Linked DNA regions of Caenorhabditis elegans. The protein of the gene in region 1 interacts with the protein of each later gene in a biochemical or structural test. Each region holds a gene or a part of one and is shown on either strand. Other genes may lie near its edges. The genes, in order: stn-2 and snf-6.

Region 1 (6,821 bases):
CTTTTCAGGTATATTATATTGGATTCATTATGGTGTTTGGTGTTGCATTTTCGTTTATGAATATCACCGTTACTACACTGTTTTCCAAAGTAATAGGCCCGAGACCACAGGTATCATATTATGAGTTAATAGAATTCTAATAGTTCATATTTCAAGGGAACTTATCAAGGTGTGTACCAAATGGCCGGATCATTTGGGCGAATGCTTGCTCCACTTTTGATGAGCTACGTTTACACATTATATGGCCCTTCAATTCCATGGTTGATACTAATTGTGAACGTGAGTATTGCTGCAGTTAATTCAATAGAAACCCAAACGATTTCAGCTGGTAGTCCTTATTAGTGCGTGGATTATATTGCGTGTGAGAATGGTTCCATTCGAGAAATATGAGACGAAGAAGATTGAGCCTTTGAATTAGGCAACTCTTTACTTTGTTATTTCACCTTTGTTTGAGTTTTCGAGTACTGTTGTAAGTGCAATATTACGGCAAACAGAAACCGGTTGATTTTGACTCATCGCGTGTCTTTATCTTGTTATCGATATAATTCTTTGAGAATTAGAATTTATGATTATTGAAATAAAGGATTTTTGAAATTGACAATTTGATTGTGCCAGAAACCTGAAAAAAGTCATATGTTTTCAATGAAATTTTGATTTTTTGCATATGACTCAAAACTGGTCCATAAGTTACAGGTAGACTACGGCATGCAGATTGTTTTTATTTTTAGTTTGAAATAAAAAAATGTTGAAAACCTAGCTTTAACTCATGATTCAAATTTTGTTTTAAACAACAGTTGAACAACAACAAAAAAATATTTATGCTTTGAAAATCAAAAATCATTAGTCCTCTGCATTTCCAACATAACGATTAGCCTTCAAATAGTCTGGATCAGTGGAAACAATTCTGGCAAGAACAAAGGAATGAAGGTTGAATACAACTGTTACCACATCTTCGCATTCGATGTCCTGCAATTTGAGTACTTGACTCGGAAAGTTGCAAAACCACTAACCTTTACTTCTATTCTATCGGAATTCAATGAACGATCATCATTGAACGATAACTGGACACACAGTTTGCCATCATCAGCAACGGCTTGTAAATCTCTGAACCGATATTGCCAAATGTAACTCTAGAAATAAATTGTATCAATATCAATAACAGTTAGAAATAGTATTACCTTAGTAGGAATATCATATAGACTAATTCCCTGTTTAATGTCAAAAACGATTCCACTGGCTCTTCCTTCAAAGTTACAGGCAAACGTTCGGGACTAAAGTTAACTGTTATTGTTGTTGAATAATTTAAATAAACTTGCCTGCATTTGGGAAATGGTATTGTATACGGTTCGGTAATATGCTTGCTCAAAAAGTTCAAATGCAGATACAGCTTCAAATGACAGGTAGTGATTTGGAACTTGCAATGGAGTTTCTATTAAGAAACAATTGTCACGCTTATCTCTTCGTGGACTAGAGTTTGGGACCTGTAGATATCCCTTCTAGAATTACTACTTTTTTTGATAATCTACCTGTTTTACAGCAACATCATAACATTTGTACAAGTAGACACATTTGTTGAGATCTTCAGAGTTTAGCTGGAAAAAAAGAATCATGTAAAATAAGTTCAAAAATTAAAAAAAAAACATACCGGCGGAACATCAAAGAAGCAGACATCACTGCCTTTTAAAATCAAGAAGCGAGGTTGCCAGCGGATTTTAAGCTCTTCTTGATCATCATCATTCAAGTATTCATTCACCCAACCAATGTAGCTGATCTAAAAAACATTAATTTAAACTATTTACTGCAAAAACCGTGCATAATGTTAGTAGATTTACTAGTTGACTATTTTCTTGAATATTCAATTTTCAACAAGATAGTCGGCTTTAAAAACAACAATGTTTCCATCAAGTATCCTAAATCGAGCAGACAAAAGCAAAAATAATTGCCTCAAAATTAGATTAAGCAAAGTTTTATTCTGAATTCGTAATTTCCATTGTATTAGCTTTTAGAAAATACATCATTCGACCCATAATTCTCTGGACACCTAAAACGGCTTCATAGTCAGTAATGTTGGATCATTAATCTGATGTGTGCTGAAAACATTTAATTTTTAATTCCGATGTCGTATTTTTAACAGATGTTTCAAGGCAACCAAACGTGCCTACCAAACATTGAAGTCATATCATTGCATACTGACCTGCTCACTCTGATGCAAGTACTTGTTGCTCATTTTTATACTCTTTTGGTTGAGCGACAATATATGTTTGCTGATGTGCGAGATCCATTGTTCCAGCGCCGATGTATCTTCGCAATGCACAATTCCCGACGATCTTCCATCTACTGCACGAACTTCGAAAGAGTTTGTCCTGTAAAATTTTAGTTTTGTTGAACAAGAAATACAAAAAGCTCCCCGTTGTATGTATTCATTACGAAAATAAAATCTGAAGCAAACCTGATATTGTCGGTTCCCCAGAGGTATCTGGTGACATAAGCCATTGCCAACGGAAGAGACGTCAACGTTTTCCATTTCTTTTCCCGTCCGTCAATATGTTGTTGCCATTTCGAGTCGGAGAGTCGGGATTCGGATTGCGCTTTGTGGCTCTGAAGCAAAAACTCCAAATAATTTCAAAATGGAAGCTTAGGATTTTTTCTTACCCTTGTACTTCTTCCATCAAACAGCTGATCCAATGTTCCATCGGGTTGCAATGACTGTGCTGGTCTGAAAAGTAGTCACTCCAACGTCTCTGGTACCCCGATATAAAATCAAATGCAACTATATACTCTGCGCAAAACATTGTGTGTCCCTCGGCAGTTTGCCTACTGCGCACATTTTTGAATTTCAAATGCAGTGAAAAGCATTCATCAGGGAGGATGGCGTAAGGCTCCGCGTGCTTTGCCTCAAACCACCCCCTGCGCAGAGCTCTTCTACACTCTAATCCATCAGTTGTTTCTACTCATGTTTCTTCGTCCTTTTCCTTCTTTTTCATGCTTCTTTCTTCCACTCTTTTCAACCATACTTTTTTTGTGTGTCCTCTCGCCAAAGTAACGCCACGTCGAAAATCGAAAAAGGAAGCGGGAAATAGGAAGAAAGGCGATGCATGGGACTGACTTGAGTAGCAAATTTTTTTCGCCACAAAACCAAACTCACTTTAGAAACGGCGTCATATGGGTGAAATGGCGGACACCCAAAGTTACTTGGTCACCGCTTGATTTTAACATGTTAACCACTTCGTCGTGGCTTTGACCTGGAAGTTGATATGAAAAAATAGTCTACCGTTTTTTTTCCCTATTAGACTTGTACCATCATGCCCTTGCTTGATTTTGACAGCTTATATCTTAGTTAGTTCTTTTTGGTTTTTTTTTAATTGGCAACTGAAAAAAAATTGATTTGTTATGAAACTTAGGACGGCATATATAACCCATCCAACAGAGAAGGAGCAAGTATAATAGGGAAAGTACAGCATATGACTTGTTTTATTATTCAATACAACTTTGTTTTTTTTTTTTAAATTTTTATGTTAAATTTTTGAACGTGAATTGCCAAAAGTTATTTTGTTGCGGCTTTTATAGGCCCCATGTGAGAAGTGTGGAAAAAATGCATACATTCAAAAATTGATGGTTCCATTTTATTTCTATTATTTAAAAAAAAACTAGTTTAACTTTTTGGTCTTTGCTATGAACGCTCATTCGTTTTCAGTTCCTATTTCCCAGAGGGGAACCAAATGATTGGACTAATGAAGACTACTCGTTCTTTTTCTTCCCTCACCTTCTATGGATATTCCATTTACTTCTACGATAGCATCTCCAATAAATAGCTCTCCACATTCGTCGGCTGTAATTTAAGTATTTTTCTAGATGTTAAAATTTTAAATCTGACGATTTACCTGGCAATCCTTTGAATATTTTGGAGATTACTATTGGCATGTTTTGTGCATTTTCTGATCCTCCCTGCAATAGTTCTAAGTATTACACCGGTCCTGTTCAATTGCTCACTTTAATAGACAATCCGAACCCCGAGTCTGGTTTTTTAACTATGACAACTTGCCGAGTTGCATTTTCTAGAAATGTTTCTTTGGCTTCTTCGGGCTCCGCGGTACCATCGTCAATGACTTGAATACATAACTCATCTGCAAGAATATGTTACGATATTTCTTTTTTTGGATGACTTTTTATATAGTTTTCATGCCATTTTCATGTCATTTCTACCAAATTTTTTTTGGAGTTTTAAAAGCGCAAAGGAAGCGCAAGACAAAAACGAAGATGCGGGACCCTGACAGCTTTTTCCTCTTTTCTCAACAACTCAATTGTAGGCTAGGCACCAATTTCCGCGCCATGAGCTGCCTAATAAAGTTTTCACACGACTAGTTGAGGCCGTCATTGCACACTTTTCTTTTATTTTCGTTTTTCTCCCCCATTTCTCCTCGTTTTTCAGGCCCTTCTCGCTTTCGCAAATTGTGCGGCTTTTATAGGCCCCATGTGAGAAGTGTGGAAAAAATGCATACATTCAAAAATTGATGGTTCCATTTTATTTCTATTTCAAGTTCCATTTTAATTTCCTCTTACCTTTGGATAAAAGCAGTCGTGACGATCTAGAAGTGGCATTCCCATCACTAATGAGTACTATTCCATGATGAACCTGAAATTTTTTGTTGGAATTTGTTTCATTTAACATATTGTCAAGTCTTGTATTTCATAAGACTTCAGATTGCTGGCATGTACTATACAAAAATTAAACATGCCCATTAAAAACCAACAATTTCATAATATTTGCTAAACTTACCACATCCAGATTATGGTGTGATTTCGTAACGGACATTTAGCCTTGTTTAACAGAGAATATAAAATGTAGCAAAAATGAAGGACAATGAACTAGAGGGACTAAAGATGCGTGTGTGTGTGCCACCTCACACGAGTCAACTTTGAAGCGCCCGAGCTCCAATCTATCCTATCTGCTCATCGGAAGCGGTGTAATACACACATTACAACAGCAAAAGATGCGGAATCATAGACGAACAGCAAAAACGAGCAGTTGAAGGAAGTGAGAAACAAGATGATAAACAGCTGGTTTGAATTTTTAATATCAGAAACGAGTCATCCAATATTTTTAACATCCAACAAAGTTTTGATCATAGTCTGAAAACTGATTAAAAGATATAAAATAAGAGCTGAAATTCTGGAACTGTTGCCAAAGAGATTGCCGGAAAGGCAACCATCATTTTTCTCAATTTCTTCGCGTGCTGCTTTCTGACTGATAAAATTTTCTACACATTGTTCACAGTCACAAAGTTTTCTGTACTCTTATCATTAAGCAGCGACCATTGCTCACCCATCTCCGTTGTGGTCTAGTGGTTAGGATTTATGGCTCTCACCCATAAGGCCGGGGTTCGATTCCCCGCAACGGAATACCTTTTTGAGGAGTGACTTTTGATAAAAATTTTAACATCCCTGTTTTTTCTCCATTTGTTTATTCATATTCAACAGTTAGTGATTTTCCAAACTAATTGAAACTTTCACTGAAATCTTTTCCACATTTCTGCATGTTGTTTCCTGCAAACTAATTGATGAATATAATCAATCATTTTGACGAATTGCCGTTTTCTACTCTTATTGTCCTTTTTCCCCATTAAAACAATGGGAAAACACGCATTTTAGCGCCGTGACCCTACACTGTGTCTTCACTTCGAATGTCAATGAGCCATTGAGCTTCAATTGAGAAATGCCGTTTTGAAGATACAAAGACACATCGTTTCGCTTTCCATATTTCGAATGATGGACGATTTTCGGCGGCGCAAACACATATGAAAATGTTCCGCAACTGGCAAAAAAGAAAGGCAACGGAATATATTTCACAATCGTTGTTGTGCAAACGAGGCTGACTTTTTTGCCTTTAGTCAACTGAGTCATCAAGAGAGACTAAAATTGTGATTTTTTCTTTGAGTACATATGTGTGATCACATTTTCTCTGCTTGAAACAAACCACAAAGTGTTTTGTAGCTCTTCTTGTTATATAAATTAAAAACGGAGTACCTTCAGTAGGAAAACTGTTTAAACCCGCTCATATAGTGTCAAAAATTAAACGACAAAATACATGAACTTTAATTTTAAAAATTAGATATATATAACTGTTTTCAAAGTACGCACGTATTTTGTTATTTATTAAACCTTGTTGTGAATCATAACACCTTTTTAATTTATCAGAAATGGAAATGTTCGAAATCCTTTTGCATTTTTATTCTTGGAAAACCACTTAAACTTGAAGAGGAACACGTGTATCACGTATTATTAATATGGAAAATTTGATGGAAAAATTAGTTTATTTTTTAAAATGTGAGATTATAAAACCTAAATACCGATTATTAAATAAGTAATCTCCCATTTTCATTGAAATAGTTATATGCTGGTCTCTATTGCACTCCATTGCGCGTCATTTCCAGCGCATAGTACGCAGTACAGTCCCCGTGGTGTCTACGGTCCTAATCCCTAATGTGTCTATGTATCGACTGTTCCTTGTTGATGATATCAATTGTTATTTTTAAATTTTGTCAACAAGGTATTTTATCATTGGAAAATCTAAACATAACTTTTTCAGAAAAATTGGTTATGTGGTCTTTGAAGAAAAAAAACTAATTAAATTTACTCAAAGAAAACTAATAAGTTTTCTAAATATTCGTTTTATTTATAATAACTTTCTTAAAAATAGAAAAAATCAATGCAAAATGTTAAACATTCTTATTTGGCATGCTCTTCCTCTTCGTGTTGCCAATTCTTCTCTCTTTTCCTCTCTCTGTGTCATGCTGAGCACCAGATTCAGACACTCTCTCCCT
Region 2 (5,173 bases), on another chromosome or scaffold:
TCCTTTTTATTTTTTTTTCAAATCTAGAAGATTTAATAGTGAGGATTGCTGAGGAGAGTGCAAATTTTCAAATAAATATTTTTTTTGGCGAAAAAACATTTTTTTTTCTCTTCGAATTCAAACTTTTCACAATTTGCAGAGCTTCCGGATAATTTCCACCCAAAAAATTCAAATTTCCCACTTAAAACCCGCCAAAATTTCTCACCTTAAACAACGGAACCACCTTCCAAACACTAATCGCAGCCGACGAGGAGAACTGTCCAAGTACCATTTCCATAAAGAACATTGGTAGTGAGGCGAGGCATAACATACATAAATATGGTACAAGGAATGCTGCACCGCCATGTTGGAATACTAGAAATGGGAATTTCCAGAAACTTCCTGCAAAGGAAGAGAAAATTGTAAAAAAATTAAAAATTTTCCAAAAAAAAAAATTTCTTTTCAAGATTTTCCAGAAATTTTCGCGATTTTTCACTGGGAAATTCAAATTTTTCGTTAAAATCTTACAAAAAAAAATTCCTAATTGAAAAAATTTGAATTTCGAGGGGGGTACGGTAGCTTCGAAAGTACGCAAACACCGAATTTTGCGAAATTTCGCACAATTTGGCTGAAAAAACAGTCACCGGGGTGAAAATTTGCGGGGAATTTGAATTTTCGCATGAAAATGCTGGAAAAATATATTGAAAGTTGGAAATTTTAATTTTTTGTTGATAAAAACGTTTTTTTTTCGAACTTTCCAGGAAATTTCAGGAATTTTCACATTGAAGTTCGAATTCTCCGGTTTATTTTGCCGCTATTGGACTTTTTTCCCAAAAGCCAGTTTGAAATTTGAATTTCGAGGAGTACGGTAGCCCCAAAAGTACGCAAACACCTGCTAGGCACCGAACCTTACGACAATTAGTCCAAATTGGCTGAAAATCGGGTTACGGGGGTGAAAATTGATGGAGAAGCCGAATTTCGTAATGAAAAACTGTGAAAATCACTGGAAAAAAAAAAATGAAAAACACGAGTTTTCGGGAAAATAGAAAATTTGGGCATAGCTTCCGCATCTCCGAGTGACAAATGTGCTCTATTGTCAAATTGTTGGCAGAAATACGGTATTTATTCACATTTTCAGCCAATTTAAGGCTGAAAATGTGAATAAATACAGTTTTTATGTCATCAATACGAGTAGAAGCACATAAGTCACGAAAATATCGATTTTTAGAAGATTTTAGGGATTTAAACCGAAATTTTTGTGATTTTCCAGTTAAAAATGTTTTTATTTTCATTATTTGAACCAAAAACTCCAAAAAAAAAATCGATAAACATGGCTAGGAACCATCATTTTCAGATTGGTGGCCTAGAACCCCCGAAAGTTAGGCCATCAATCTATTTTGTTCGAAAAAAAACCAATTTAGGGTAAAAATGAGTGGAAAACTCAATTTCCAACTGAAAATTTGAAAAAAATTACTAGAAATGTGAGATTTTCGCTTTTCAAATCATTTAGACCCAATAAATGACAATTTAAACTTTTTTTTCCAAAATTTTGGTGTTGAAATTCGTTTTTAGAAGAAAAAACTATAAAAAATCAATAGAAAAGTTAATTTTTTTGGAAAAAATAAAGCAAGTGCGCTCTATTGAGAAATTACTGAAAATTCGATTTTTTCACTGATTTTGTCTGGTTTCAACGTGAAAAATGCGTTGAAAAATTGAAATTTCGAGTTTTTTTTGCAGAAAAATCGATATTTTATCCATTTTTCCACTGAAAATCCCAAAAATATCCAATGTTTCACCAAAAAAAAATCCCCCAAAACAAGAGATGTTAGAACTTTAGAACACACACACTCTCTTATCAATTTATAATCTTATCAATTTCTCGCACGTACTCATTTCGTATGGTCAGATTATTATCTGCTGATATCGTGGACTTTGGCCCCTGTTTTCGCCGAAAAATCGTAAAAATTCCGGATTTCTGGCCTAAAAATTAGGGAAAATTATTGGTTTTTTCCATGAAAAAGCAGTTAAAAATTGCTATTTTCATCAATTTGATGCGAAAAAACTTCAAAAAGCCCCCAGAAAATCAACGTTTTTACAAGAAAAACAACGACACTCCGCTAGTACACCAACGCGTGTTGTTTAGCGGTTTGGCGGGAATTCAAATTTCTCGCTTTCTTACCAACTCCCGCTGTGAAACCAATTACTGCTAGCAGATAATCCGACTTGTTACTCCAATTTCCTGAAAAAATTTTTTTTTTCACAAAAATTTTTTTTGTTGGTATTTTAGCATTTTTCAATAAAAATTTTGGTTTTTATGGATTTTTTCACACAAATTCGTGTTTTTCACGTCTCCAGCTTCAAAATGACCCCCATCATGCCCTGTTTCCGTGCAATTTGAAAAATTCGGGTCTCGCCACGCGGGGTACTGTAGCACCGGTTTCAGCTGTGTCGAAACTACAAAAGCTCAAAATCAACGTATTCTGGTCATGTTGGGGGTCATTCAAAAGCTGCTGACGTGGCGAATTCAATGAAAACAGTTTGGTGGCCGAGTTTTGGATTTGAAGGCCACCAAATCGAAAAACGTGGATTTTTGTCGCACCTCGTATCCTATTTTCGTCTCCGACACCCGTAATCTCTTCGAATGGATATTCGATGTCACCTTCTCGTGTGTAATCGGGCAATTTTGCGTCGAGCTTGAAAAATTTCAGGGTTTTTTTTGCGAAAAAATCAGTTTTTTCCCTAAAAACTCAAAATTCTCGCTGAAATCTTTAACAAAATGGCGGGAATTGGTCGTTTCCCGCCGTAGATCAAACGGAAATTTGAATTCCCGCCGACCGCGTGGAGCAAGTGCGCTCCAGCGGACTAGTGGCGGGGAATTTGATTTTATTTATTTTTTCGGCAATTTTTCAGCAAATTCAATGATTTTATTGGTTTTAGGACAAAAATTAGTGGAAATTTTCATCAAATTTTGTGGTTTTTTTGGAATTTTTCACAAAAAATCGATAATCATCCAAATTTTTCGGGAAAAACGTCAAAATTATCCGTTTTTCTCGAATTTTCCGAATTTTTCCACAAACCTGCTTAATAAACGGAGGATATAGGCTCATATCCACGTTGTTTCCGCTTGCCATGCCCCGTCCATTCCTCTGCTCCGGATCGTTGCTCGAAACCGACATTTTCGGTGTGGAAAAACTCGGTTTTTCTTGGAAAAATCGATTTTTCGTCGGTTTAAAACCTGAAAATTAGCAATTTTCACGATTTTTTGAGCTATTTAGCAAGAGATTGCGAAGAAAAATACGAATTTTAGAGTAAAAACGAAAGAGAAACGAGGCGACGCGGCGGCCCGTTGTTACACAAATTTCGGAAGCAGTTGGCTCGCCCGAATTGAAAACATACGTGAAAAGCCGGGGAAAACGAATGAAAAAGTGAGAAATTGTGGGAAAATGTGGGAAAAATTAGTTTATTTCAGGAAAAAATTGGCTATAAATCGGTTTTAATGAGTTTTTAGCTGAAAATCAATAATTTTCGGGTCAAATTTTAGATTTTTGGGGTCAAAATGCTGCAACTCACTTCCAGAATTCAATTTTAATTATAAAAATCGAAAATTTTAATGAAAAATTTACGTTTTTCACGAAAAACCGCTCTGGAAAATAAAAATGTTCCAGGTTGCCAATGCAAACGCGCTCCATTGAGAAATCGCTTGTTGGCGGGTGTTTGAAATGGAAATTCTGATGAAATAAATTAAATTGGGTTTGGAAGCATCTTTGTTGGTTGAATAAAGCATTTATTATGAAAGAAATAAGATTTAAACAAAAAAAAACCATTTTTACAGAGAAAATACCAGAAAACACCGGAAATTGTTAGTTTTTTTTTGAATTTTTCAGGAGAATACCAACATTTTAAAACTAATACCGGTGCAAACCGAAAATCCACTAGAAAAACTCTAAAAATCACGAAGACTCCAAAAATCACAGTTTTTCTTGAAATCAAGTTTTTCTCGAAAAATCTATATTTCTCTGGGGAGTAATTTGTGTAGTTTTTGGTGTCAAAATGCGGCTAAAAACATTTTCTGTTTGTTTTTCGCATTTTCAATTGTAAAAAATCCCTTAAAAATGGTGAAAATTAGGATTTTCCAAAGTTATTAAAAATTGACTCTGCAATTGCGCTCCATTGCTACGCATGAGAGAGCAGAGACGCAGAGTACGAATCATGCAATTTCAGGTTATTTTTTGATTTTTTACAGGAAAAAATTGTTTTCACAATTTTTTCTCAATTTTTTTTCAAATTCCAGTTAAAAAATATGAATTTTCGTCGATTTCTGCACACAACATATCGAATTTCCACTCCAGGTACCCGAAAACCCCATTATTTACTCAGTTTTCCGCGCGGAAATCGCAATTCTTTTCAGAATTTCGCCAACAATTCGAACTTCCCGCGCAATATGACTATCGGCAGTGGTTTCCAATGCATATGTCCGTACAATTGAAAAAAATGGAAGCGAAATTGCGATCCGTCGACTTGATAATTGAGGTTTTGCATGGAAAATGGAACTTTTACGATTTTTTTTTTGGAAAATCTGTAAAATCACCGGAAAAACGCTGAAAAACCGAAAAACTGGTGTAAAAAACTGGTGTAAGAATTTTAGTGAATTTTTCCGCCTATAAAAGTTGAAAAATCGGGAAATATTGCAAAAATCGACATTTTTTCCAGGTCCACGACGCCAGAATCCCGATTACCGGCCGAAATCAGCAGTTTTTTCGACATTTATACGCTATTCGACCGCATATTCTCGTCCTGAACAAGTGTGACTTGATAGATATGAAGAAATACAAGTGAGAACCCGGAAAAATTCGAAAAAATCCGGAAAAAACGCTTGAAAAATCAAGATTTTCAGAATTTCTCCGAAAAATTTTGGATTTTTTCGACGAAATTCGGCTTTTTCTCAACGAATTTAGTCAAAAATTGCGATTTTCCGACAAAAATCCACTTTAATCACCTAAAAATTTGAATTCCCGCCGACCGCGCAGTGCAAGTGCGCTCCAGTGGACTAGTGGCGGGAAATTCGAATTTTTGGCTATTTTAGCGCGATTTTTTGCACTTTTTTAACGATTTCTGGGTGAAATTCGACCGGATTTTTATAAAAAATGAAGAAAAATCGATTCTTTTTACCTTTTTTTCGGAAAAAACGCTGTAA

The links.
Region 2: the proteins of stn-2 (region 1) and snf-6 form a complex in vitro, tested with the Caenorhabditis elegans proteins (one study listed by BioGRID).

What each region holds. Positions count from the first base shown.
Region 1 is NC_003284.9:7,675,712-7,682,532, forward strand, and holds stn-2 (PDZ domain-containing protein), read right to left. Parts: upstream 4,909-6,821; 5' UTR 4,814-4,908; coding exon 4,778-4,813; intron 4,634-4,777; coding exon 4,561-4,633; intron 4,125-4,560; coding exon 3,991-4,124; intron 3,946-3,990; coding exon 3,882-3,945; intron 3,830-3,881; coding exon 3,764-3,829; intron 3,243-3,763; coding exon 3,146-3,242; intron 2,717-3,145; coding exon 2,653-2,716; intron 2,599-2,652; coding exon 2,450-2,598; intron 2,364-2,449; coding exon 2,195-2,363; intron 1,772-2,194; coding exon 1,646-1,771; intron 1,593-1,645; coding exon 1,527-1,592; intron 1,482-1,526; coding exon 1,317-1,481; intron 1,272-1,316; coding exon 1,179-1,271; intron 1,131-1,178; coding exon 1,011-1,130; intron 967-1,010; coding exon 841-966; 3' UTR 800-840; downstream 1-799. Other genes in the region: mfsd-8.5 (Major facilitator superfamily (MFS) profile domain-containing protein), read left to right, coding at 9-110, 157-279, 326-418.
Region 2 is NC_003281.10:1,529,614-1,534,786, forward strand, and holds the start of snf-6 (Sodium-dependent acetylcholine transporter), read right to left. Parts: upstream 3,215-5,173; 5' UTR 3,156-3,214; coding exon 3,057-3,155; intron 2,673-3,056; coding exon 2,579-2,672; intron 2,219-2,578; coding exon 2,159-2,218; intron 382-2,158; coding exon 206-381; intron 1-205. Other genes in the region: mtg-1 (CP-type G domain-containing protein), read left to right, coding at 4,280-4,328, 4,388-4,509, 4,690-4,811. UniProt on the Caenorhabditis elegans protein: Mediates sodium-dependent uptake of acetylcholine at neuromuscular junctions during periods of increased synaptic activity, may also prevent spillover to adjacent synaptic sites.